7 linked regions of the Macaca fascicularis genome follow. The main gene of each other region encodes a partner of the protein of the gene in region 2 in a complex. Links are inferred from orthologs where the notes say so. Each region holds a gene or a part of one and is shown on either strand. Other genes may lie near its edges. The genes, in order: SNRNP40, DHX16, RBM48, ARMC7, RNF113A, SNIP1 and SNRPD2.

Region 1 (3,500 bases), on a different chromosome or scaffold from region 2:
CCGCACCTGGCCAAAAGCAAGGATATTTCATCCAAAGTAACAGCAAAGGAAACAACGAGGGATGGAAATACAGTACAACTTCTAGGAAAGGACAACACAGAAAGTTGAGTATTTATCTGACAGTTACTATTCTCACTATAAAGCAGAAGGTAAGGTCAAAGTCGTTAAGATCCCCAAGGAAGCCAATAGGAAAGGAAGACAGAAGCCGTGCAGGACCAAAATAACACATTTCCTGGCACTTGTTATGTCCAGGAATTCTGCTAAGTGCTCTAATCAGGCTCATTTAATCGCTACAATGGTATGTGGTAGATGCCATGTGGTAGTTTTTGTTATCACTACCCCCTCAGCATTCACACAAGAAAAAGAGGCTTAAAGAAGGTGTTGAAGTCACAAAACTAGAAAATGGTGAAACTGGGATTAGAACTCAAGTCAATTACTTGAAAGTTTGAGCTACACTGTACTGCCATATGGTCTATTGCCTCTTTAATATCATTACCTTCTCTCATTCTTAGAGAAACTTAGAAAACTCCCTTTCCATAGTGTCAAAAAGAAAAACACAGTGAGAGATGAGGATACAGAATCACAAACTGATTCACTGCTCCCATTAAACTAAGATGGTTAAAAAAAGATTCTGAATGTCTTTAAAAGGAAATGCACTCTTTATTTTTTACATAGTCCCCCTACAGAGACTTCACACTTCACATTAAGTGCCTGGTCCCTGACAGCATTTATAAGATCTGCAGTGCAACCTTTAATTTAGGAAGTCAATGAAGACAGGAGAAAAAGAAAATAAGTTCCAAATTACTATTTTCCTTTCAGTTGGTATTAAGTGCAAAGCTACCACAATTTCAGAAGTTTGAAAAAATTTGTTTCTAAGTGCAGATGGGTGAAATGGAAATATATCATAAACATCAAACATACCTTGATATCATTGTCTATTCCACCAGAAATAATCTGATCACTTGTGTCATTGAAGGTCACAGCTAACACCTGGTACGTGTTCTGAAATGTCTGGATGGCTGCTTTCTTCCGGATGTCCCAAAGCTGAAGCAAAGGACAACAGGGTCTATCATTAATATCATTCTAAGAAGTAACTGCACAGTACAAATATCCCTAAGTACAAGGACTTTGTGAACATGAACACATCTATAATTGGGATCCCATTTCACTAACTCCTGGATATCCTAATAACACACATGGTAAGCAGTGTCCTCAATTTTGCTAAGACATTTGAAGGCTGGTGAAACAAAACTTCAGTTATATTTTCAGACTTCTTTGTTAAAGTGAATAAACAGAGTTAAATCAACATACTCTTAGAATGGAATTCCACTAATTACTTGGTTCATATATTTTTTAGGACAACAAGGATATCAGACAATTTTTTCAAACTGTAGATACTAATTCATTAGTGGGCTGCAACCCACATTTAAAAAAATAGAGAGCGGGTACGTCAGTGAAAATAGTATAATAAACAATGACAAAAGCTTGTCCTTCCACAAAACAACAAATGAACCAGCAAAAACCTGTCAGAATCAACTGTCGGAACTCTCATAACTAATCAAAAGTTTATAGTAACCAGGCAAACCCTTAATGAGGAAAAAGGAAACAAAAAAACCCCTGAGTCCCAGTAAAAGGGTTTTGTAGTGTTTTAACTTGTGCTGGCTCTGTCTCCCGCTCAGCAACAGCTTTGAAGATAACCCATATTCCCAGTATGGTTTCCTAGTACTGAGGAAGCAAAGGGGGGCCTATTTCTTATTGTCAAAGAATAAACAATAAAAATTGTTTATTTTTACTTGTCTGGTGGCTCCCTGAAGGATAAGCTCAAAGGACTTACATTTATTTATTTATTTATTTATTTTTTTGAGACGGAGTCTTTGCTCTGTCGCCCAGGCTGGAGTGCAGTGGCGCCAACTCGGCTCACTACAAGCTCCGCCTCCTGGGTTTACGCCATTCTCCTGCCTCAGCCTCCCGAGTAGCTGGGACTACAGGCACCCGCCACCTCGCCCGGCTGGTTTTTTGTACTTTTAGTAGAGACGGGGTTTCACCGTGTTAGCCAAGATGGTCTCGATCTCCAGACCTCGTGATCCGCCTGTCTCGGCCTCCCAAAGTGCTGGGATTACAGGCGTGAGCCACCGCGCCCGGCCAGGACTTACATTTATTTTGTCTAACTTGGAACTTTCCTTGAAAACATTTAGGCCGGGCGCGGTGGCTCAAGCCTGTAATCCCAGCACTTTGGGAGGCCGAGACGGGCGGATCACGAGGTCAGGAGATCGAGACCATCCTGACTAACACGGTGAAACCCCATCTCTACTAAAAAATACAAAAAAAAAAAAAAAAAAAAAAAACTAGCCGGGCGAGGTGGCGGGCGCCTGTAGTCCCAGCTACTCGGGAGGCTGAGGCAGGAGAATGGCGGGAACCCGGGAGGCGGAGCTTGCAGTGAGCTGAGATCCGGCCACAGCACTCCAGCCTGGGTGACAGAGCAAGACTCCGTCTCAAAAAAAAAAAAAAAAAAAAAAAAAAAAAAAGAAAACATTTAAAGGAAAGGATATTATTAGCCTCTGGTGCCTGGGGGCAAGGAAAAACAGTTGGGGCAAAAATACAAACCAAAAACCTTGGGAGGAAGGGCTGGGGAAGGAGACAATTTGGGGAGTAAGAGTTTTGAAAAGCACTGACATATTCCTGGCTATCTATCTTATCTATCTATCTTATCTTATCTATCTATCTATCTATCTATCTATCTATCTATCTATCTATCTATCTACCTACCTACCTACCTACCTACCTACCTACCTACCTACCTACCTATCTATCTATCTATCTACCTACCTACCTACCTACCTACAGAGTCTCCCTCTGTCACCCAGGCCGGAGTGCAGTGGTGCGATCTCGGCTCACTGCAACCTCCACCTCACAGGCTCAAGCAATTCTCCTGTCTCAGCCTCCCGAGTAGGTGGGATTATAGGCGCGTGCCACTATACCCAGCTAATTTTTGTATTTTTAGTAGAGACAGGGTTTCGCCATGTTGACCAGGCTGGTCTCACACTCCTGGCCTCAAGTGATCTGTCTGCCTCGCCCTCCCAAAGTGCTAAGATTACAGGCATGAGCCACCATGCCTGGCCCATCCCTGGCAATCTAGACCACTTGCATGTCCAGGGCTGGGCACATACTTAGAAAAGATCTGAGAAGGCCATAAGCTCTCTGGTTGACCTTCAGGCTCTGCACAAGCAGGAAGTGAAAGCTAAGGAGAGATGTAAACTGCACAGCAAGGAGTTGAAGGCAGGCTCCAACATACCAAAAGACAATCTGCAAAGACTGGGAGAGCTTTTGTTCTTGTTGTTGTAGGTAATTTAGGAAACTTCTGTCATTCACTAGCTGACCACTAAGCTAACAAAAAAAAAGAATTCAGTGGTAACACAGGACAAAGAATACAAACTTTACAAAATTAGTTCAAAAATTCACTAAACAGGCCAGGTGTGACAGCTCACACCTGTAATCCCAGC
Region 2 (3,500 bases):
GGCTGGTCTCGAACTCCAGAGCTCAAGCAATCCTCCCACCTCAGCCTCCCAAAGTACTAGGATTATAGGCATGAGCCACTGTGCCCAGCCTTCCTGCTTTTTACCTTAGCTGACTCTGCCTCAGCTAATCTGTTCTTTTCCAGCTCAAGTCTAGCAGAGCCATGAACTTAATTACCCAGAGCTAGGTGAGGACCCCCTTTGAGGGCCCTAGGTCTGTCATCCTATCTATTTGCCCTTCTTTTCTGGTATTCAGCATCTGTCTTTTCCTCCTTTTCTCCTGTCTGGCTTTTACAACTTCTTTCTCTGAATTGTACCTGGTCCCAGGGGGCATATTTAGCAAAGGGTAAACCTCTTCTTTCTTCCTTGTCATTCAGGGTTATACAAAGAAGGGTATGAAGATTGCCTGCACCCAACCCCGGAGAGTGGCCGCCATGAGTGTAGCCGCCCGAGTGGCCCGGGAGATGGGTGTGAAGCTTGGGAATGAGGTGAGATTTCTAGGGAACTGGGGGGTAGAGACTGGGGTCTGTGACTCAGTCTACACTGCCCTCAGGTCCCTACGGCAGAAGTCTTGGTGCTGCCCCACTTCACCTTTCCCCAAGTTCCTTTCAGGGCACACCATCCAACACTTGGTTGCTAATGGTTTCCCTTGACCAGGTTGGCTACAGTATCCGCTTTGAGGACTGCACATCAGAGCGAACTGTCCTCCGCTACATGACAGATGGGATGCTTCTCCGGGAGTTCCTCTCTGAGCCTGACCTTGCGAGTTACAGGTACATACAGGGCCCTCATCTCCCATGAGAGAGCTGCCCACATTCTCTTCCCCCTGTGCTGCCGCCTCCCTCCCACTCAGTTCTCTCCTGGATCTCTAATCTCTGGCTTTTCTCTCATTTCTTGCCACCCAGCCAATTCAGCCATTGTCTTCTGATTAATCCACCAGTTCTTATATCGTTATGGTTCAAACGGTCCTTGAACTGACCTCCAGGTACCACGGAGATGGGGCTGGAGGATAGAAGAGATTGTAGAGAAAGCCTCTTCTTCTTTCCCCATTCATCTCCAGGGTTAGGAAACAACCAGGATAGCATAGCATTGCTGCGGAGGCTTGAAATGCCATGTGGAGACCATTTGAAAACACCTGGAATGCTCAGCTCAGAGGGAGAAGCAGGAGAGGCATCCTGGTTCCCTCTAAATATGTGAAGGCTGTGACATGGAAAGAAGGATGAGACTTGGTTTATGTAACCCTACAGGATACAGCTAGGAGCCATGGGGAGGTTACAGGGAGACAGATTCCAACTCAATACCGATGGCTAAATAACCCTCAGAGTGTTGGAGATTGCAGGGCCTGTCAGAGTGGTTGGACTCTGGATCTTGGCCCTCCACACAAGTCTTGGGTAGCTTGGTCTGTGAATAATGAGCTCTTAGTGCTGGAAATGGCCAAGCAGAGGTTGGTTGAACATGTGTTGAGGGGGAAAAGGGATTCATGAATGTGCTGGGGTTGGGGTCAGGCCAGCTGAACAATATGTGCCCTTTTTTGACTCTTCAGAGGCTGTGAATTTCTGGCCCTGGAAGATCACAGTGGAGTGATTGGACAGATAGGATTTTATCCTTCATATCCCTTGCAAAAAATCTCTGAGAACCCATGGAGAGCCAGCCAGTGCAAGAGGGCCTGATGCAGATATTTTTGCCCATCGAGCCAGCCTGCTTTGTGGAATGACTGGGGGCTTCACCATCACAGTTAGGGTTAGGGACAAAGAGTTGAGGTCAGAGAGGTGGGTAGGGGAAGATGAGGATGAGTTCCTGAGACTTGGCTGCCATCCAGAAAAGCCAAAAAATAAAGCAAAGAGAAAGAAGGTGTCATGCACATAACTGAGTTAGGAGAAACCAGGGAGCATGCAGAGTCCTCTGAGAGTTGGGGTAGAAAGGCTTAACTTGCTCCTCTCTGCAAAAGAAGAATCCTTCTTAGCAGGTCTGGCTCTGTTACCCAGACTGGAGTGCATTGGTGCAATCTCGGCTTACTGCAAGCTCCGCCTCCCAGGTTCATGCCATTCTCCTGCCTCAGCCTCCCGAGTAGCTGGAACTACAGGCGCCCGCCACCACGCCCGGCTAATTTTTTTTTTTTTTTAAGTAGAGACGGGGTTTCACCGTGTTGGCCAGGATGGTCTCAATATCCTGACCTCATGATCCACCCTTCTCGGCCTCCCGAAGTGCTGGGATTACAGGCGTGAACCACCGCACCTGGCCTCTTTTTACATAGAGTGTCGCTCTGTCACCCAGGCTGGAGTGCAGTGGCTCAATCTTGGCTCACTGCAACCTCTGCCTCCCGGGTTCAAGCGATTCTCCTGCCTCAGCCACCTGAGTAGCTGGGACTACAGGTGTGCGCCACCACACCTGGCTAATTTTTTTTGTATTTTTAGAAGAGACAGGGTTTCGCCATATTGGCCAGGCTGATCTCAAACTCCTGACCTCGTGATCTGCCTGCCTTGGCCTCCCAAAGTGCTGGGATTACAGGTGTGAGCCACCGTGCCCAGCCTAAAGCATATCCTTCAACTTTTTCTAGTAAGAGCAGCTACTGAGTCTAAGCAGACTCTTGACTGAACTAGAGAGTATGTCTAACTTGTCCTGGCCTCAGTGCAGCCTCTACATCTTGGCTTCTATTGTCTGCTGAGGCTGGGATAGGTTGCAGATCATGGGTCCCTGGCCGCCTCTGACTTTCTGTTGGTCTTACATAACTGGGATGGCTGAGTTCTCCTTAGACCCCCCCTCCGTCAACAGTCATTCTTGAGCTCTTTGTGTCCATCACTCCCCTCTCGTCCAGGGAACCCTGGTGTCTGATACTGCATTGCCCAGCGCTCCTCCCTCATTGCTGCCCTATTCCCTCCCCAGTGTGGTGATGGTGGATGAGGCTCACGAACGGACCCTACACACAGACATTCTCTTTGGATTGATCAAGGATGTTGCTCGCTTCCGACCTGAGCTCAAGGTCCTGGTGGCTTCAGCCACACTGGACACTGCCCGTTTCTCCACCTTCTTTGATGACGCCCCTGTGTTTCGAATCCCCGGACGCAGGTTTCCTGTGGACATCTTCTACACCAAGGTGCTACCTCAGGGAGGATGGGCTTAAGTCTGTGGCAGAAAAGCTGAGGCCTTTGGAGAAAGTTATCCCAAGGAGGGAAAGATGGAGTGGAAGGTCCAAAGGGGAACTAGGATAAAGTATATGTTGAACGGGGAGGAGAGGAAAGGTTTGCCTAAGCAGGTGGCCCTCCTGTGACCGCATCTCTTTCTGCTCTCCAGGCTCCAGAGGCTGACTACTTGGAAGCTTGTGTTGTATCTGTGTTGCAGATCCACGTGACCCAGCCCCCTGGGGATATCCTGGTGTTCCTGACAGGACAGGTGCCTGACATGGTTGGGAGAGGGGAGGGTGTATCTCAGGGGAAGATGGGGCCGGCATGTTGGCCTTCTGTGACTCTGGGATCCCTGCTGCTCTCCCCACCCTCTATCCAGGA
Region 3 (3,500 bases), on a different chromosome or scaffold from region 2:
AAAGAGGTAAGGTTATTTTTAAAAACTGTTCTAAGAGACGATTTGGTTATAGGACTAAATGGGGAATTATTTGTGGGAACAATAGTATTGTAATTTTTTTCACTTTTTAGTTTTTTGATGTGTTTTTCTATAGTTCTCTGTTGAAATAACTGAATTTGGCTAACATTTTATTTGCTTTGAACTGTTAATACTTGCTTTAAACAATGAACAGACATTTTATATCACTGTAGATACAAAATATTAAAGCAGTGGTTTCAGCTAATTACATCAATCTGTGAGAGTGGTGCCCAGGCCTGCCATTTTTGTTAAAAGCTCCCCAAGTAGTTCTAATATGAGCCAAAGTTGAGAAGGAAAATTCCATTTCTCTCAGATTTAGAGTTATTACAGTTTATATCAAAGTAAAATGCTTAATTTGCTTTTGTGATAAAGAGCAATAGAAGGTGAGATTTCTAAAAATTGGGCCTCTAGGTATGCATTTCAAATGTAGACTTTATTTTATTTTATTTGTTTATTTATTTATTTATTTTTTGGAGACAGAGTCTCACTCTGTCGCTCAGGATCTACGGTCACTGCAAGCTCTGCCTCCTGGGTTCACACCATTCTCCTGCCTCAGCCTCCCAAGTAGCTGGGACTACAGGTGCCCGCCGCCATGCCAGGGCAAGTGTTTTGTATTTTTTAGTAGAGACGAGGTTTCACCATATTAGCCAGGATGGTCTCGATCTCCTGATCTCGTGATCCACCCGCTTCAGCCTCCCAAAGTGCTGGGATTACAGGGATTACAGGCATAAGCCACCACGCCCGGCCTCAAATGTAGACTTCTTAAATGATCAGGATCAGATTGTGCTGCCTAGGTAGTCTTTTTTTTTTATGTCATTTATATAATCATTTTCCATTTCCTAAGCACAAATAAAGTTAACATCTGAGTTAGCTTTCGAAAGACACCTTTTTGTGGGATGGGGTAGGGGCTACTATTACAAATCATAAACTGAGGGTTATGACATTCTCTTATACTTACTCCAAGATGCAGAAAGTGCTTTTCACATGGTTTTACTCGTATTTTACAATGTGATTAAGGGAGGCTCAGGTAGCTTAATTTCTTATATGTACATTTTTTACCTGAAAACATCTGATTAAAGAGGCATTATTTATTAATAATTAAAATCCATGGGCACAGTTTTGAAGCCGCCTTTAGTTTTTCAGTTTAGGCTGGGGACAGTGGCTCACACCAATAATCTCAGCACTTTGGGAGGCTGAGGTGGGAGGCTGAGGTGAGCAGACTGCTTGAGCCCAGGAGTCTGAGAGCAGCCTGACCAATGTGATGAAACCCCATCTTTACCATAAATATACAAAAATTAGCCAGGCGTGGTGGTGCACTCTTGTAGCTACTTGGGAGGCTAAGGTGGAAGGATCACTTGAATCTGGGAGGCGGAGGTTGCAGTGAGCCAAGATCATGCCACTGCACTCCAGCCTGGGTGACAGTGTGAGACCCTGTCTCAAAAAAAAAAAAAAAAAAAGGTTTTCAGTTTGTGCTTCCACCCTTCCTTCCTTCCTTCAGTTGCAGCTGAACTGAGGCATAGACATAGATACGCAGCTGTCTCAGCCAGAGCTGATTACATTTTAAAGAAAAACGTGTGAAGTCCAAATTCTAGGTCCAGAAATAGTAGAACAACAAAAAAAAAATGTTAAATACAGTTTACTATAGTTTCTAATAATTTTCCATTTCAAATGAAGACTCTTTGCTTTGGCTTATTGTACACTCTCTCTGATAGTGTGTTTGCCTTTCCTTTTTCTCCTAGGAAATTGAGGATTATACTGCTTCCTGCTCATTTCTCCAAATGTTTTCATCCCCCCAAATCTATCAAACATTATCAGTGTTTCAAGAATGCAAAACCAGGATATCTATCTGAATCTGTAATATAACAAGTGACTTTAGATCTATAAAGGAATGTTAAAGTGGAGCATATGTTCACTTTTCTTCCTCCAAATTTTTTTTCTTTTTAAGTAGCTTTAGAAATTTTACTCTCATCAGTGTTTGAACAGAAAACTTCACTCTGTGCCTAGGTCATAGGCTGGACCTTGAACTTAAGCCAACTCTGCCTCAAAAGCCGCATCAAGGATTGAACTATTGGATGTAGTCTTACCTCTTCTAATAGCTTTACTCCTGTGCTATAGAAACTAAATTTTAATGGTTCTTTTTTTTTAATTAGGTAATTTCATCTGTGCCAAAGCATCCAGAGGACAAGCCGGAAGATGTACATACAAGTCATCCATTAAAACAAAGAAGAAGAATATAGAGTGCCAGCAGCAAATTAGTACTTCCTGAAAAGAACATTTATTATTTATTTTTAGCCTGTCATTTTAATTCTTCTAGAGATTTTACTGCTGGTATTTTTTAATGCACTCCTCTTTGTAATTTCATTCAAGCTATTTATCTAAAGTCATTTCTTTCTTTCTTTTTTTTTTTGGGAGATGGAGTCTTGCTCTTTTGCCCAGGCTGGAATGCAATGGCATGATCTCAGCTCGCCGCAACCTCCACCTCCCGGGTCCAAGCAATTCTCCTGCCTCAGCCTCCTGAGTAGCTGGGATTACAGGCGTACACCACCATTCCTGGCCAAGTTTTGTGCTTTTTTAGTAGAAATGGGGTTTCACCATATTGGTCAGGCTGGTCTCGAACTCCTGACCTCGTGATCCTCCCACCTCGGCCTCCCAAAGTGCTGGGATTACAGGCATGAGCCACCATGCCTGGCCCATTTCTTTTTTTTTCGACCCATACTTAATGTTGCAGAAACTATTCTTGTCATAACATTACCTCTCATGTACAGTAATTATATGTAAATTAATTGAAGCAAATATGGAAACTACAATAACGATAGGCAACCAGCATCTGTTTCTGATTATAATACAAGTATTGAATGAGCCATTGAAACACTAGAAGTCAGGGTGTTTCCGAATGCCAGGATTTCAAAATCAAGACAGTCTGTGAGGTAAAAAGTAGATTAACTATTAGAACAAAGCTGAAATTAGAATCTTATATGCTTTCATTAACTTTTAAGAAGAATTTGCTTGACCTGTGGCAATCCAAAAATAAATCAGTATTTATAAATTTTAGACTTCTGTTACTGCTTCTGGCATATCCACACTTTTTTCTGTCAGTGGGTCACATAATTGGAAATTTCAGTACATCTAGGCTGTCTCCATTTTCTTTTTCTTTTTAGTAGAGACAGGGTCTCATTGTGTTGCCCAGGCAGGTATTGAACTCCTGGGCTCAAGTGATCCACTCACCTTGGCCTCCCAAAGTACTAGGATTACAGGTGTGACCCACTACACCTGGCCATTTTCTTTACCGGTAAAAATAACTTGAGAAGGTCCATACCATGGCATGTTGTTTTCATTTCTCCCTATCTTTAATGGCCTCTTGCCTAGTAGATTGAATTTGAACATACCAGTTAATAAGGTTCTGTTTCAGCTATGATTTACTTGTAGCAGGACAAGCCGCAGAC
Region 4 (4,167 bases), on a different chromosome or scaffold from region 2:
CATAGTAAACTATATGGGTATTCAGGGAGGTAAAGAAAGAAAGGCTTTAAGGGAAAAAATAGGATTACATAATTGTTTTGAGATAATTATCCTTAGGTAGAAGAATTAGTAACAAGGGTGACCAGTTCAACGTTGGACAGGAAAGTTGCTGGGCAGATGGCCATTCAAAAGTATGTTTTGTGCAAGGTTGGGGTTTTTGCAGAATCTTTGTGATAGTTTTCATTATCAGATATTTATGCATGAGAACCCTCTTGTCATGGTTTTCTCCGACTCTGTCCGGGTTTTTTTGTTCTGTTTTTTTTTTAACACAAGTGACTCCAATTAGATTAACAACTTTTGCATTCTCAGGACACTCACAGCCTAAGCCACCTCTCTACCCCTACGTTGTCAAACGCGATGGGAGTGTAGTAAGGCCACCTCCTTCCCTGGTGCTTTGTTCCCTGTAACCACGAGTAGTAATCCATCACACACCTGCTTCCCGAGAATCCTCGAGAAGGAATCGGCCGAAGGGCTTCAGCATCCAGAAAGCCCCGAAAGCGCCACAAACAAGGCTCTTCCTCGGGCTCCCCGGTGCTGCCCCGGGCGCGCGCCATCCACCCGGCTGACAAAAAGCACCAGGACATGACCCCGTCCCCTTTGATTTCTGTCCAGAGGTGGCGGACTCACCTCGGGGCTGGGATAGAGGACGGGTCGGGGTCGCTACGCTTTTTGCAAAAGGGTCAAAAGACTGATGGGGGTGGGTAAGGAGCTGACGCCCGCGCTCTAAAGGGGCGTCCTGGTCAAGGAGGCTGGGCCGCGCCCCGCCAGCCATGGGGATCCTGGAGGTGCTTCTGCCTCGACGTCCTCCCAACATGGGTGCTGCCAGACTCCGTTGCGCTCCTGAGTTGCTCCTCACGTCATTCCAGCCGCCCGACATGGGTGCCTCACTTTCGGCTTCTGGGCCACGTCGGGGCGGCGGAGGACCCGGGGGGCCGGGCGGGAGAGTGGGAAAGGTGGGGCGGGAAAGCCGAGAGAGGCCCTCACCCGCCTTCCTGTTGGCGGGGGCGGCAAGTGGGTTTCTTTCTTGCGTTCAGATTTTGCAATAATTTGCAGCTGGACATAGGATATGGGAGACAAGGCTGCTCCTCGCAGTACACCCACCCACGCCCATACCTCCCTCGGCGAAGCGTGTCGCAGCGGGTTCCAGCGCAGGCTAAAGAGCTTCCGCAGCCAGAAAACCGAAAGCGCGCCGCGCACGCGCGCCAAGGAGTTCGGCGACGGCCCCGCCCCTCGCCTGCCTCGTCCCGCCCCTTCCGCGCCTTGTAGGGTGGGGACAGCGCGGCTTCCGCCGGGAGCCTGGAACCGAGCCCGGCAGCCGGGGGCTGGGCGCCAGTACCCACTCCGCCAGCCCCAACCCGCAGACGGTTCCCTGTCTCCCGCGCCCCAATTTCGATTTTCAGACCCAACTCCTACAGGATTCTGAGACCCCGGCCCATCTCCCCACATTCCATTTCCAGCTGCAAATTACTGCAGAGTCTGAACCCAAGAAAGAAACCCATTTGCCGTCCCCGCGTCTTCCCTCGCCAGACAGGTGGAGAGTGGGTGAGGGTCTCGCTCGGCTTTCCCCCTGCACCTTTGCCACCCGCCCGCCCGTCCCTGGGGGTCCTCCGTCACGCCGGCCATGGCCCAGAAGCCGAAGTTGGACCCCCACGTCGGGCGTTTGGGATACCTGCAGGCGCTGGTCACGGAATTCCAGGAGACCCAGAGCCAAGGTGAGAGCCACGGTGGGACCAGGTGACAGGGTCGGCTGTGACCGCCGCCCGGACCTGGCTCCAGTGCCGCTTTCCCGTTGCAGACGCCAAGGAGCAAGTCCTCGCCAACCTCGCCAACTTCGCTTATGACCCCAGCAACTACGAGTATCTACGGCAGCTGCAGGTCCTGGATTTATTTCTCGATTCGCTGTCGGAGGAGAACGAGACCCTGGTTGAGTTTGCTATTGGTAAGGGCTGGGCCCGTTCGCTAGATGGCTAAATGGGCCGGGGTGAGATAAGTGAGTTACAAGTGAGTCCTTGGGGCCTGGCGTGGTGGCTCACACATGTAATCCCAGCACTTTGGGAAGCCGAGGCGGGGGGATCACCTGAGGTCAGGAGTTCGAGACCAGCCTGGCCAACATGGCAAAACCTCGTCTCTACTAAAAGTACAAAAATTAGCTGGGCATGGTGGCGAGTGCCTGTAATCCCAGCTAAGCGGGAGCAAAAATTAGCCGCACACAGTGGTGTGCACCTGTAGGCCCAGCTACTCTGGAGGCCGAAGCAGGAGGATTGCTTGAGTCCGGGAGGCAGAGGCCAAAGTGAGCTGAGACTGCGCCACTGCACTCCAGCCTGGGCGACGGAGTGAGACCATGTCTCAAAAAAAGATGTTTTAAAAAGAGCAGTTTTGTAGCCAGGCGCGGTGGCACACGCCTGTAATCCCAGCACTTTGGGAGCCCGAGGCAGGCGGATCACCTGAGATCAGGAGTTCGAGACCAGTCTGGCCAACATGATGAAACCCCGTCTCTAACTAAAAATACAAAAATTAGCCGGGCGTGGCGGGCGCCTGTAATCCCAGCTACTCGGGAGGCTGAGGCAGGAGAATCACTTGAACCCGGTAGGCAGAGGTTGCTGTGAGCCGAGGTGGCGCCACTGCACCCCAGCCTGGGCAACAGCGAGACTCCGTCTCAAAAAAAAAAACAACAACAATTTCAGGTGGGTGAGGTGGCTCACACCTGTAATGTCAGCACTTTGGGCGGCCGAAGCAGGCAGATCACTTGAGTCCTGGAGTTCAAGACCGGCCTGGCAAAAGCCCATCTCTGCTAAAAAAAAAAAAAAAAAAAATTAGTCTGGCGTGGTGTCCCAGCTACTCAGGAGGCTGAGGTGGGAGGATTGCTTGAGCCTGGGAGGACGAGGCTGCAGTGAGCTGGGATTGGGCCACTGTACTCCAGCCTGGGTGACAGAATGAGAATCTGTCTTAGAAACAAAAGTAACTCATATTTAGTGTTTTCATATCAGGAGAAGCAGAGATGGCTTGCAGTCTGTAACTTACGGCTTCTTTTGTAGTTATGATCTTAAGACCTATTGATTTATTCACTGGGCAGATATTTACTGGGCATGTACCGTATATGTAAACTACTGCTCTAAATGCTGGAGTATGGTGAACAGGTTAGGGAAAGTGTTTGTCCCTCAGGAGCTTACATTCTAGTAGGGGGGACAGGTGGTTAGCAAACAAAAAAGATGATGCTCAGCAGCAAATAAATGGGGTGATGAGAAACAGCAGTAGAAGGTGGTGGTTACTTCCGTTTTGGCCATCATGAGAAAGGCATTTTAGCAGGGACACAGCATGGGCAAAGGCCTTAAAACAGGAAGGAGCCAGAAGGAAGATGAATGTGGCAGGATCGTTATAGTGAAGTGGAGAATGGCACAAAAAGAGGATAGAGAGTTAAGCGGCACCAGAGCTTGCCGGAGCTTAGATCTAGGCCGTGGGAAATAGTTTGAAGCAGACAAAATTTTGAGAACAAACAAAAATCCCTGTTTCAAGCCATGCACAGTGCTCATCTGTAGCCCCAGATAGGAGGATCGCTTGAGCCCAGGAGTTTGAGGCTGTAGTGTGCTACGATTGCATGATTGCACCTGTAAATAGCCACCGCACTCCAGCCTGGGCAACACGCGTGTGATCACCTGGCTGAAGTCTTGTCAGGCTTCTCCACTGTAAAATTACTCTTTCTTTCCCCTCTTTACGTATTATGTATTATACCCATTGGAAGGAAGTCACTACATAAATTATCTTAAATCTTTTTCTTTTTTTTGAGATAGGGTCTCACTGTGTCACTTAGGCTGGAGTACAGTGGTGTGATCATAGTTCACCATAAATTTAAACTTCTGGGCTCTAGCAGTCTTCCTGCCTTAGCCTCCCGAGTAGCTGTGACTACAGGTGGACACCACCATGCCCGGCTTTTTTTTGTTTTTAATTTGTTTTCGAGAGGATCTCACTGTGTTGCCCAGACTGGTCTCGAACTCGGCTTTTTTTTTTTTTTTTTTTTTTTTTAATTTGTTGTCGACACACGGTCTCACCGTCTTGCCCAGACTGGTCTTGAACTCCTGGCCCCAAGAGATAAATCGCTTGTAACCCTAAACAGACCCTCATTTCATAACA
Region 5 (2,887 bases), on a different chromosome or scaffold from region 2:
GAAAATGAATCCTGATGTAAAACACAAGACCTTGCAGTAAATTCCTAAACGCTTGCAAGAGAAAGTGGGGAATAAAAAAGTCAAGGGTGGCCGGGAGCGGCGGCTCACGCCTGTAATCCCAGCACTTTGGGAGGTCAAGGCGGGTGGATCACCTGAGGTCAGAAGTTCGAGACCAGCCTCGCCAACATGATGAAACCCCCGTCTCTACCAAAATAAATAAATAAATAGCCGGGCGTGGTCCCGGCTACTCAGGAGGGTGAGGCAGGAAAAATTTTTTTTTTTTTTTTTGAGACGGAGTTTCGCCCTTGTTGCCCAGGCTGGAGTGCAGTGTCGCGATCTCGGCTCACTGCAACCTCCGCCTCCTGGGTTCAAGCGATTCTCCTGCCTCAGCCTCCCGAGTAGCTGGGATTACAGGCATGCGCCACCACGCCCCACTAATTTTGTATTTTTAGTAGAGATGGGGTTTCCCCATGTTGGTCAGGCTGGTATCGAACTCCCGACCTCAGGTGATCCGCCCGCCTCGGTCTCCCAAAGTGCTGGGATTACAGGCGTGAGCCACCGCGCTCAGCCAGGAGAATCTCTTGAACCCGGAAGGCGGAGGTTGCAGTGAGGGATTCTCAGGCTTGAGCCACCTCTTCTAATCTACCTTTCCGGCCCCCGCGTCGCTACTCTGCCCTAAGGCCCACTTTGATACACCCAGAAACGCTGTTTTTCACCAGAGCAGGATGTGGTTTCTACCGCGCTTCGTTTCGCAAGCCTCGGCTTCTAGGCAACCGGAAGAAAGTAGAGGGCCGGCCTCGGAGAGAGGGTCCGCAGGCTGACGGCCTCTCTGCCCACCATCCTTTTCAGAAATCAGCCAGTGGAGTCAGCCCCCGGGCCCAGGAAGCCGCCTTACCTTGCCCCCGTTAGTGAACCTCTGGATGTACGCAGTAGCCAGTCCTGGAATAAGCAAGCACACGCCCATGGCGGCGAGTCCGGGGAGAATCTCGAACCACATCTCTGCCCCGTTATCTAGGCCAAAACCCTACTTCTGGGTCCTTGAAAGGTGACCGGGCTTCGGCTCCCTTCCCAGTAAGCCCCGCGGCCGCCCGCGAGCGGGGCGGTGCCACGTACGGCTCCGGAGGAAGCGACGGGATCTGCCAGGGCTCAAGAGAGGCTGGCGCTCGCGCTCTCGCAGTTCTCTTCCGTCAGTGTCTTTTGCTTCGACTCCCGGCGGAGCGCGCGACGTGGAGTAACGCGCAGAGGCCAAGTGCAACCCAGGCAGCGACGGCCGTTTCGGAGCTCGGGACTCTAAAATGGCAGAGCAGTTTTCTCCAGGGAAGACGGCGGATCAGGTGTGCACCTTCCTTTTCAAAAAGCCTGGGCGGAAAGGGGCTGCTGGACGCAGAAAGCGCCCGGCCTGCGACCCAGAGCCCGGAGACAGCGGCAGCAGTAGCGACGAAGGCTGCACTGTGGTTCGACCGGAAAAGAAGCGGGCGACTCACAATCCAATGATACAGAAGACTCGTGACAGTGGTAAACAGAAGGCAGCTTACGGCGACTTGAGCAGCGAGGAGGAGGAGGAAAATGAGCCCGAGAGTCTCGGCGTGGTTTATAAATCCACCCGCTCGGCGAAACCCGTGGGACCAGAGGATATGGGGGCGACAGCTGTCTATGAGCTGGACACAGAGAAAGAGCGCGATGCACAAGCCATCTTTGAGCGCAGCCAGAAGATCCAGGAGGAGCTGAGGGGCAAGGAGGATGACAAGATCTATCGGGGAATCAACAATTATCAGAAATACATGAAGCCCAAGGATACGTCTATGGGCAATGCCTCTTCCGGGATGGTGAGGAAGGGCCCCATCCGAGCGCCCGAGCATCTACGTGCCACCGTGCGCTGGGATTACCAGCCCGACATCTGTAAGGACTACAAAGAGACTGGCTTCTGCGGCTTCGGAGACAGCTGCAAATTCCTCCATGACCGTTCAGATTACAAGCATGGGTGGCAGATCGAACGTGAGCTTGATGAGGGTCGCTATGGTGTCTATGAGGATGAAAACTATGAAGTGGGAAGCGATGATGAGGAAATACCATTCAAGTGTTTCATCTGTCGCCAGAGCTTCCAAAACCCAGTTGTCACCAAGTGCAGGCATTATTTCTGCGAGAGCTGTGCACTGCAGCATTTCCGCACCACCCCGCGCTGTTATGTCTGTGACCAGCAGACCAATGGCGTCTTCAATCCAGCGAAAGAATTGATTGCTAAACTAGAGAAGCATCGAGCTACAGGAGAGGGTGGTGGTGCTTCCGACTTGCCAGAAGACCCCGATGAGGATCCAATTCCCGTTACTTAGCTGTCTGATAATTCTTAAATTTAAATAATAAATATTTTGTTCTTTTGGAAGTCTTAATTCGTGTCCTTCCTTTGTAGAGACAGTGACAGAGAAGGCGGGTGGTGAAGTAGGGTCCTGGATTAAAAACCTCAAGGTAGGTATAATCAGGATTTTTAGCCCTAGGATAACCATTTTGCCTGTGTTTCTTTTCAGAACACTTTGGCATCAATTATAGGGGTGGGAGTAGTTTGAGAAAAGAGCTATAATTTGCTTGAAGTAGCCAAAGCTATGACGAAAGTAAGAACTCTGAGCCTGTTTATCATATCACATTTCTGTATCACTTAATAGTTTACAAAGTACTTTCATGCATTCTTTCTCTTGGGAGCCTGTACTACAAAATATACCGGAGCCAAGGTGTTGGGGAGAGGGGTTGCGTTTGGGGAATTGGTAGCTAGTACCACAGGCTTCACATATGGGAAATGTTCCTTGCTGTCTGGGTTATTTATTTATTTATTTATTTATGAGACGGAGTCTCGCTCTGTTGTCCAGGCTGGAGTGCAATGGCGCGATCTCAGCTC
Region 6 (3,500 bases), on a different chromosome or scaffold from region 2:
TTTACTGACTGCAGTACATTCCCACCCCCAAAAGACTAAGTGCAAAATCAACTTCTAAGCTCAAGAGCTCAACCAGGTCAAAGCTTTGGTATATACTGGAGGTTGTTTTGGTGATAACCAAAGCCTAGTAAGATTCTCTGCTCAGGGGTTCACCCCAAAAGAAAAACACCTGGTCCACAAAGCTTAATACCTATATAAATAAAGTTAACTGTACAAAGAGAACAAGCCATGATTTACCCTTAACCAAGGGTTTATAGTTTCCTAGGCAGCAGTTCTGAAAGCACCAACTAAAACCACAACGCTTCTACTAAAACACGGTGTGTTGTAATTGGTGAGACTGTTCCGAAAACAAATGCCTGCAGGCATGTGGCCAAGGTGCCACAGAAAAAGTTTAACAAACATTAGTCAGTGTATTCAAATGGTAACACAATCTGGTCAGCAACAGGGGAAAGACTTAAGGCAGTAAGAGGCATTACAGAGAGCATGATAGTGTTGGACCCACCACCATAGTGCTCTCTGAGTCAATCAAAGCCTTCCAACAAGGAAAACGTGTCTCAATAGTTTGGGTTCTTAGTTTGTTAGCTGTCAGACACTTCCTCCTCCTCCTCCTCATCCTCATCATCTTTCCTGTCTATTTCCGAAGTGTCCGACGACTCATGGAGCAAGACATATTCTCTGCTACTGAATCCAAATTTGAGTACATCCTTTTCTTTTAGTTCATAGTATCTCTGTGGCTCAATACGTTTGTTGTTTAAGAAGGTTCCATTGCCTGAGCCAAGGTCAATGATGTAGGGCTTCACTCTTCGGCCAACCGTGCCATCAGCACGGGTATATTCCACAAGCCTAGCAGAGAAAAAGGAGAAACCTATGAGCAAACTTCTGCCTCAGATCATCCATCCTCTCTGAAGCTCTTTGCTAAGACAGCCTAGATGATGTAAATAACCTGACTTGAGCATAATTCAAGTTAAAATTCTAGGGAATCAAAGAAATCAAGGGGAAAGCATGGCCCTGGGAAGGGAAATTGGAAGTTTAAATATATTTAGTAGAAAAGGTGAGAATGGGTTACTGGAGGGTGGGGAGAATCCATGGAAGATCAAAAGGTGGAAATGCAGAATCCAAAGTCTCTTGCTGTGGTTAAGAAAATACATTTTTTTCTGTTGTTTATAATCAATGTTTCTTTAACCTATATTTCAATATATTTCAGTTCCTGTCCAAATGGGAAAAAACAGTGGACCTGGACTTCAGAGTCAAGGGAGCTATATTTGAGCCAGAGTTCTACTATGGCAGGAGTCCCCAGCTCCTGGACCATGGACTGGTACTAGTCCGTGGCCTGTTAGGAACCAGGCCGCACAGCAAGAGGTGAGCAGTGGGCAGACAGGCAAGCAAGCCAAACTTCATCTGTATTTTCAGCTGCTCCCCATCACTCGTATTATTATTGCCTGAGCTCCGCCTCCTGTCAGATCAGCGGTGCCATTAGTCTCATAGGAGCGTGAACCCTATTGTGAACTGTGCACAAGTGGGATCTAGGTTGCGTGCTCCTTAGGAGAATCTAATGCCTGATCTGTCGCTGTCTCCCATCACCCCCAGATGAGACCATCGAGTTGCAGGAAAACAAGCTCAGGGCTTCCACTGATTCTAGATTATGGTGAGTTGTATAATTATTACATTATATATTACAATGAGATAATATTAGAAAATAGGCCGGGCGCGGTGGCTCACGCCTGTAATCCCAGCACTTTGGGAGGCCGAGGCGGGCGGATCACAAGGTCAGGAGATCGAGACCACGGTGAAACCCCGTCTCTACTAAAAATACAAAAAATTAGCCGGGCGCGGTTGTGGGCGCCTGTAGTCCCAGCTACTCGGGAGGCTGAGGCAGGAGAATGGCGTGAACCCGGGAGGCGGAGCTTGCAGTGAGCCGAGATCGCGCCACTGCACTCCAGCCTGGGCGACAGAGCGAGACTCCGTCTCAAAAAAAAAAAAAAAAAAAAAAAAAAAAAAAAAAAAAAAAGAAAATAAAGTGCACAATAAATGTAATGCACTTGAATCCTGAAACCATGTCCCTGGTTCCATGGAAAAACTGTCTTCCATGAAACCGGTCCTTGGTGCCAAAAAGGCTGGGGACCACTGTACTATAGTGATCATTTGTTAGGCAAGTCACTTGGTTTTGCTGGGCTTCAGTTTTCTCATCTGTCAAATGGGGATATAAATACTTGTCCATTCAAAGTCAGGAGACCATGTTAAAACAAAACAAAACAACAACCAACAACAACAACAAAAAATGGGCCAGGCGCAGTGGCTCACACCTATAATCTCAGCAATTTGGAAGGCCGAGGCGGGTGGATCACGAGGTCAGGAGTTCGACACCAGACTGACCAATACAATGAAACCCTGTCTCTACTAAAAATACAAAAATTCCCTGGGTGTGGCAGCGTGCGCCTGTATTCCCAGCTGCTCGGTAGCCTGAGGCAGGCGAATCGCTTGAACGCGGGAGGCAGAGGTTGCAGTGAGCTGAGATCGCGCCACTGCACTCCAGCCTGGGCACAGAAGGAGACTCCGTCTCACAAAAACAAAAAACCAAAAACCGGTCCTATCCTTCTCACAGGATTGTTGTGAGAATCATCACAGATGTCCCACGCAAGCTATCAAGAACCAGTTTCAAAATTAGTAGAGCACAGAGGCACATGCCTATGGTCCCAGTTACTCAGGAGGCCAAGGTGGGAGACAATCATTTGAGCCCAAGAGGTTGCTGGAGTGAGCTGTCTTTGCTCCACTGCACTCTAGACTGGGTGACCGAGTGAGACCTTGTCACAAAAAAACAAAAAATAGATTAAAAGTATAATGTTCTTATAAATATGTAAACAATTATTTAAAGGGAAGTTAGATTAACAATACTCTTTAGATATGAGGGGTATGGGATTCTTCTGTATATGTATGAACAAAAATCTTAGTAATCCTAACTAACTGAGCAATTGTTTCTGCTCACATTAGAGTTTCTTCCTCCATGTTACTTACCGATATTGAAAGACCGCATGCTGCTTTGAACAAGATGGGTGATCGATAGGAATGTCTGCAATGCGGCGGTGTCGACCCAGTAGATACGCACTCTGTCGATGTATGTACATGACTGGAAGCACCTCATCATTTTTAAATGGGTAGAGACGCCACCGTTTTTTTGGAATACGTGCTTCTGGGGGCTCACTATATTTAATGACTACACCCCGGAAAGTGTTGGTGTCCTCAAGAAGTGCCCCAGAAAGTTCATAGCTTGGTTTTTCTTTAGCAGGCACCTCTTTTTCTTTGTTGTTGCCACCAGGCCGAGGAACCAACTCCTGAGACTCACTACCGCCACCACCAATGTCATTCCTCTGGCGATGCTCCCGTCGCCTGGCATTATAAAACTCCCGCTCTTCTTCCTGAGCCTGCAGGTTCTGAGTGTCTCGCTCCCGTCCCTGACCCTGCCCACTCCCAGGTCTCTCGTTAGACGTTCTCCTTTGGTGGGA
Region 7 (4,288 bases), on a different chromosome or scaffold from region 2:
TTCCTGACCTCGTGATCCACCCGCCTCGACCTCCCGAAGTGCTGAGATTACAGGTGTGAGCCACCGCGCTCAGCCAGACATTTTCAACTCTGCATGTCTCAGGTCGGGGTCCAGATCACCCAACCACCGAAGCCTACCCTATCCACAGTGTTCCCCATCTGCCTTCTAGTTCTCTGGGCAAAAACTCTTTGTCAACTTGATTCCTCTTTTTCCCTTGCATCCTACAATAAATCTGTAGGAAGTGGCCATTTCTTACCATGGCCTCAGCCTCTGTCATCTCTGACCTGGAATCTTTCCGGTCTCTCTGCCTCCACCCATGTTCCCTGACAGTCTGTTCTCCACAGAGTGGTCTGAGGGGGCTGTGCTAAAACCTAAATCATAACATGTCACTCTTCAAAGCCCTCCCAGGGGCTGGGTACGGTAGCTCATGCCTGTAATCCTAGCACTTTTGTGGTGCAGAGGTTGCGGTGAGCTGAGATCGCGCCACTGCACTCCACCCTGGCAACAGAGCAAGACTCCGTCTCAAAAAAAAAAAAAAAAAAAAAGAAAAGAAAAGAAAAGAAAATGTCTGTTAGGCATCCAGCTGGTGATGATTCACAAGGCGGGTGGATCACTTGACATCAGGAGTTCGAGACCAGCCTGGCCAACACGGTGAAAACCCATCTCTACTAAAAATACAAACAAAACAAAAACAACAACAAAAAATTAGCCAGGCGTGGTGGTGCACGCCTGTAATCTCAGCTACTTGGTAGGTTCTGGCAGAAGAATCGCTTGAGCTCAGGAGTCGGAGAGTGCAGTGAAGCGAGATCATGCCACTGCACTCCAGCCTGGGCGACAGAGCGAGACTCTGTCTCAAAAAATAAATAAATACAAATTAGAAAATACAAAAATTAGGCTGCGTGTGATGGCTCACGCCTGTAATCCCAGCACTTTGGGAGGCCAAGGGGGGTGGATCGCCTGAGCTCAGGAGTTCCAGACCACCCAGGGCAACATGGTGAAACCCTGTCTCTACTAAAAATACAAAAAAATTAACGAGGTGTGATGGCGCATGCCTCTAGTCCCAGCTACTTAGGAGGATGACGCAGGAGAATCGCTGGAGCCCCAGCAGCGAAGGTTGCAGTGAGCCAAGATTACACCACTGCACTCCAGCTTGGGTTACAGAGTAAGACTCCATCCCCCACCCCAAAAAAAAAAGTAGCTGGGCATGGTGGCGCATGCTTGTAATCCTAGCTACTTGGGAGGCTGAGGCAAGAAGATCACTTGAACCCAGGAGACAGAGATCGTGCTACTACACTCCAATCTGGGTGACAGAGCGAGATTCCATCTCAAACAAACAAAAGAAAATCCTCCCATGCCCCCCCGCCATCTCAGTGTAGAAAGTAAAACCCCGGCCAGGCATGGTGGCTCACGCCCGGCCAGGCACGGTGGCTCACGCCTGTAATGCCAGCACTTTGGAAGGTCGAGGCAGGTGGATCATTCGAGGTCAGGAGTTTGAGACCAGGTTGGCCAACATGGCGAAATCTGGTCTCTACTAAAAATATAAAAGTCAGCTGGGCATGGTGGTTGGTGCCTGTAATCCTAGCAACTCGGGAGGCTGAGGCAGGAGAATTGCTTCAACTCGGGAGGCAGAGGTTGCAGTGAGCTGAGATCGCACCATTGCACTCCAGCCTGAGCAACAGAGCAAGGCTATGTCTCGGGAAAAAAAAAAAAAAAAAAAGATTTTTTTTTTCCTTGGGAACAAAAGGTTTCATTCACTGATGTATCCTATGTGGCTTAAGCAGTGTCTGATACATAAACATTCAATGTAATATTTGGTGCACTAATAAATGAGCAAAATCATGCCAATCACTCGTTATCCCTTTAAGTTGTGAATTAGGTCGAAAACGCATCTGTCTCCAGCTCAAATGATCAGGAGAAGTCCCTTATTTCAAATCATTATTTCTAAAAGTCCTAACTTCCCTTCCCCAGTATTCGTTTTGATTTCTTTTGTTTCGTTTTGAGATGGAGTCTTACTCTTCGCTCAGGCTGGAAGTGTGCAGTGGTGCAATCTCGGCTCACTGCAACCTCCGTCTACCGGGTTCAAGCGATTCTCCGGCCTCAGCCTTCCAAGTAGCTGGAATTACAGGGGCCCGACACTACGTCTGGCTAATTTTTGTATTTTTGGTAGACACGGGGTTTCACCACAATGGCCAGGCTGGTCTCAAACTCCTGACCTCAGGTGATCTGCCCGCCTCGGCCTCCCAAAGTGCTGGGATTTACAAACCTGAGCCACCGCGCCCGGCCTCCCCCAGTATTCGTAAAATCGCTGCCCCTTAACATTCACTTCAATAGGACTAATTATCTAGGACCCCCCTCCGTTATCGTTTAAAATATGTTTTTCATAATTAAAAAAAATTTTTTTTGTAGAGACGGGGGTCTCGCTATGTTGCCTAGAGTAGTCTCGAAACTCCTGTGTTCTAGCGATGCTCCCGCCTTGGCCTACTAAAATGCTGGGATCACAGGCATGAGTCCCCGCGCCCAGCCCAGCGCGTTATCTGATAAAGCTGTCCCCTCTCCCGAAGTCACGATGCGTCAAAGGCCCCACGCCCGTTCTCAAACTCATCAGGAGAAACGCAGGACGCTCCATCCCTAAAACATCTGCCCCTGTCCCCCACCCCGCTCTCTGCTCAACCCTTCCCACCCTCAATCGGTCAAAATTTCCACCCTCAACCTCCTTCCCGCCGCCTAAGCCTAGCCCGGCCTCACATGATGGTCACTAAGCTCTCCGTTCACTCCCGTTTCCTCCGCGTTGCTGCAGCCTGAGGCGAGAGAGGCGGGACTTCCTCTTCCTGCGACCCACTTCCGTTGGCGCCTGCGCAAAGCCAACCAGTAAGTGGAGGCGTGGCCTGTTGCCATAGCATTGCCCACCAACGGTGCACAATGAAAGAATAAAAGCCTCGGATAGGGGTTCGAGGCCAGTCAGAACCACACGGGGCAGATGTTTATGACAATGAAGACAAAAGGAAAGGCGGTCTGATTCAAACCGTTTCGTTTAAGAATGGTACAGGTTTAAGGAGGGAAATGACAAACTATTTCCAAATGCCCGCCGGCCGTGACTTCGGGGGCGCGGCCTCCGCTGAAGCCAATCCGCTCCTCGCTTCGGAGACAGGCACCGCCCCTCTTCCCTCTGGGACGGGTTATTGACGTATCTACTGATCTTTCCGACCCTGCGCCACCAATCCCCTGCCTACATCCGGGAGGGGCATGGACCTGCGCCCGAGAGATTGAATATTTTCCACGATCAAACGCTGCTCATTGGCTTTCCCCCTCCGCTAAGGCGGAGCCTATCTCTTTTGCGCTCCCTTTTGGGTCGTGCCATTCTCAGAAGAACCAACCCCAATACCCAAGGGAGGCCGGGAGGCGTGTCCTCAGGACCGTAGCTCTTATTGGTTTCGCTGCTCGCTGTGGGGTGGGCAGGTGCAGCCGCTGCTGTTGCTTATTGGCCCACTGATTCCATGGGGTGGAACTTGGCTGGGCCTAAACTCAATCGTGGTCTGGTACAGGTTTCAGGGCATAGCTGCCATGCGTTCCGGGGGCCGCGGGCGGCCCCGCCTGCGGCTAGGGGAACGTGGCGTTATGGAGCCACTCTTGCCCCCGAAGCGCCGCCTGCTACCGCGGGTTCGGCTCTTGCCCCTGTTGCTGGCGCTGGCCGTGGGCTCGGCGTTCTACACCATTTGGAGCGGCTGGCACCGCAGGACTGAGGAGCTGCCGCTGGGCCGGGAGCTGCGGGTGAGGCTGGGCGGGGACCCGGGCACCGCGGGGACCCTCATTCCCTCCCCGCTGTTACCCAGGGTTGACTTGGCTTTAGCGTACGGCCCTAACCGCAGATGCCACAGTCTTCGTCATCTGAGCGCATGACCCTTACCAAAGGAATAAGGCTTCGGGCTGGTTTTACAACAGTAGCTTCCTTTTATGAGGAAAGGTCTGAAATAGTAAGACGAGGGGGTTCAGGGTTCTACGCCTTTAGTCAACTATTTGGAAGAGTCCCTTCCTCCATCTCCCCTCTCTCTCACTGGGCCTCGATTTCCCCATCAAGTTTGAGGTAGGCTGGACCGGATGGTCTTGGAAGGACTTTTTCTGAGCCTTGGATTTATCCTAGAAGTCTCCGATGCTGGAGGCCGCAAATTAGAAAGAGGACCCGGGGCTGCTTGTGGGTGACGGCGCCCGGGGTAGGGATGAAATGGTGGGTTGCTCTCATTCTTCCCTTCCCTATCCCACCTCCTTCCCAAGGTCCCGTTGATCGGAAGCC

The links.
Region 1: DHX16 (region 2) and SNRNP40 share a complex: the UniProt entries of both Homo sapiens proteins name them as parts of the minor spliceosome. The link is inferred for Macaca fascicularis from reciprocal best matches to the Homo sapiens genes DHX16 and SNRNP40.
Region 3: DHX16 (region 2) and RBM48 share a complex: the UniProt entries of both Homo sapiens proteins name them as parts of the minor spliceosome. The link is inferred for Macaca fascicularis from reciprocal best matches to the Homo sapiens genes DHX16 and RBM48.
Region 4: DHX16 (region 2) and ARMC7 share a complex: the UniProt entries of both Homo sapiens proteins name them as parts of the minor spliceosome. The link is inferred for Macaca fascicularis from reciprocal best matches to the Homo sapiens genes DHX16 and ARMC7.
Region 5: DHX16 (region 2) and RNF113A share a complex: the UniProt entries of both Homo sapiens proteins name them as parts of the minor spliceosome. The link is inferred for Macaca fascicularis from reciprocal best matches to the Homo sapiens genes DHX16 and RNF113A.
Region 6: DHX16 (region 2) and SNIP1 share a complex: the UniProt entries of both Homo sapiens proteins name them as parts of the minor spliceosome. The link is inferred for Macaca fascicularis from reciprocal best matches to the Homo sapiens genes DHX16 and SNIP1.
Region 7: DHX16 (region 2) and SNRPD2 share a complex: the UniProt entries of both Homo sapiens proteins name them as parts of the minor spliceosome. The link is inferred for Macaca fascicularis from reciprocal best matches to the Homo sapiens genes DHX16 and SNRPD2.

What each region holds. Positions count from the first base shown.
Region 1 is NC_088375.1:203,728,177-203,731,676, reverse strand, and holds part of SNRNP40 (U5 small nuclear ribonucleoprotein 40 kDa protein), read right to left. Parts: intron 1,045-3,500; coding exon 922-1,044; intron 1-921. UniProt on the Homo sapiens protein: Required for pre-mRNA splicing as component of the activated spliceosome. Component of the U5 small nuclear ribonucleoprotein (snRNP) complex and the U4/U6-U5 tri-snRNP complex, building blocks of the spliceosome.
Region 2 is NC_088378.1:141,993,824-141,997,323, forward strand, and holds part of DHX16 (pre-mRNA-splicing factor ATP-dependent RNA helicase DHX16), read left to right. Parts: intron 1-374; coding exon 375-485; intron 486-654; coding exon 655-770; intron 771-2,880; coding exon 2,881-3,091; intron 3,092-3,288; coding exon 3,289-3,387; intron 3,388-3,498; coding exon 3,499-3,500. UniProt on the Homo sapiens protein: Required for pre-mRNA splicing as a component of the spliceosome. Contributes to pre-mRNA splicing after spliceosome formation and prior to the first transesterification reaction.
Region 3 is NC_088377.1:128,829,428-128,832,927, reverse strand, and holds the end of RBM48 (RNA-binding protein 48), read left to right. Parts: coding exon 1-6; intron 7-1,796; coding exon 1,797-1,907; 3' UTR 1,908-2,207; coding exon of another isoform or gene 2,208-2,294; 3' UTR 2,295-3,103; downstream 3,104-3,500. UniProt on the Homo sapiens protein: As a component of the minor spliceosome, involved in the splicing of U12-type introns in pre-mRNAs.
Region 4 is NC_088390.1:81,488,731-81,492,897, forward strand, and holds the start of ARMC7 (armadillo repeat-containing protein 7), read left to right. Parts: upstream 1-1,367; 5' UTR 1,368-1,660; coding exon 1,661-1,751; intron 1,752-1,834; coding exon 1,835-1,978; intron 1,979-4,167. UniProt on the Homo sapiens protein: As a component of the minor spliceosome, involved in the splicing of U12-type introns in pre-mRNAs.
Region 5 is NC_088395.1:126,232,984-126,235,870, reverse strand, and holds RNF113A (E3 ubiquitin-protein ligase RNF113A), read left to right. Parts: upstream 1-1,189; 5' UTR 1,190-1,295; coding exon 1,296-2,330; 3' UTR 2,331-2,387; downstream 2,388-2,887. Other genes in the region: NDUFA1 (NADH dehydrogenase [ubiquinone] 1 alpha subcomplex subunit 1), read right to left, coding at 896-997. UniProt on the Homo sapiens protein: Required for pre-mRNA splicing as component of the spliceosome. As a component of the minor spliceosome, involved in the splicing of U12-type introns in pre-mRNAs. E3 ubiquitin-protein ligase that catalyzes the transfer of ubiquitin onto target proteins.
Region 6 is NC_088375.1:197,387,272-197,390,771, reverse strand, and holds part of SNIP1 (smad nuclear-interacting protein 1), read right to left. Parts: coding exon 3,013-3,500; intron 844-3,012; coding exon 579-843; 3' UTR 1-578. UniProt on the Homo sapiens protein: Required for pre-mRNA splicing as component of the spliceosome. As a component of the minor spliceosome, involved in the splicing of U12-type introns in pre-mRNAs. Down-regulates NF-kappa-B signaling by competing with RELA for CREBBP/EP300 binding.
Region 7 is NC_088393.1:53,756,366-53,760,653, forward strand, and holds the start of SNRPD2 (small nuclear ribonucleoprotein Sm D2), read right to left. Parts: upstream 2,801-4,288; 5' UTR 2,748-2,800; coding exon 2,746-2,747; exon of another isoform or gene 2,014-2,745; intron 1-2,013. Other genes in the region: QPCTL (glutaminyl-peptide cyclotransferase-like protein), read left to right, coding at 3,562-3,768, 4,270-4,288. UniProt on the Homo sapiens protein: Plays a role in pre-mRNA splicing as a core component of the spliceosomal U1, U2, U4 and U5 small nuclear ribonucleoproteins (snRNPs), the building blocks of the spliceosome.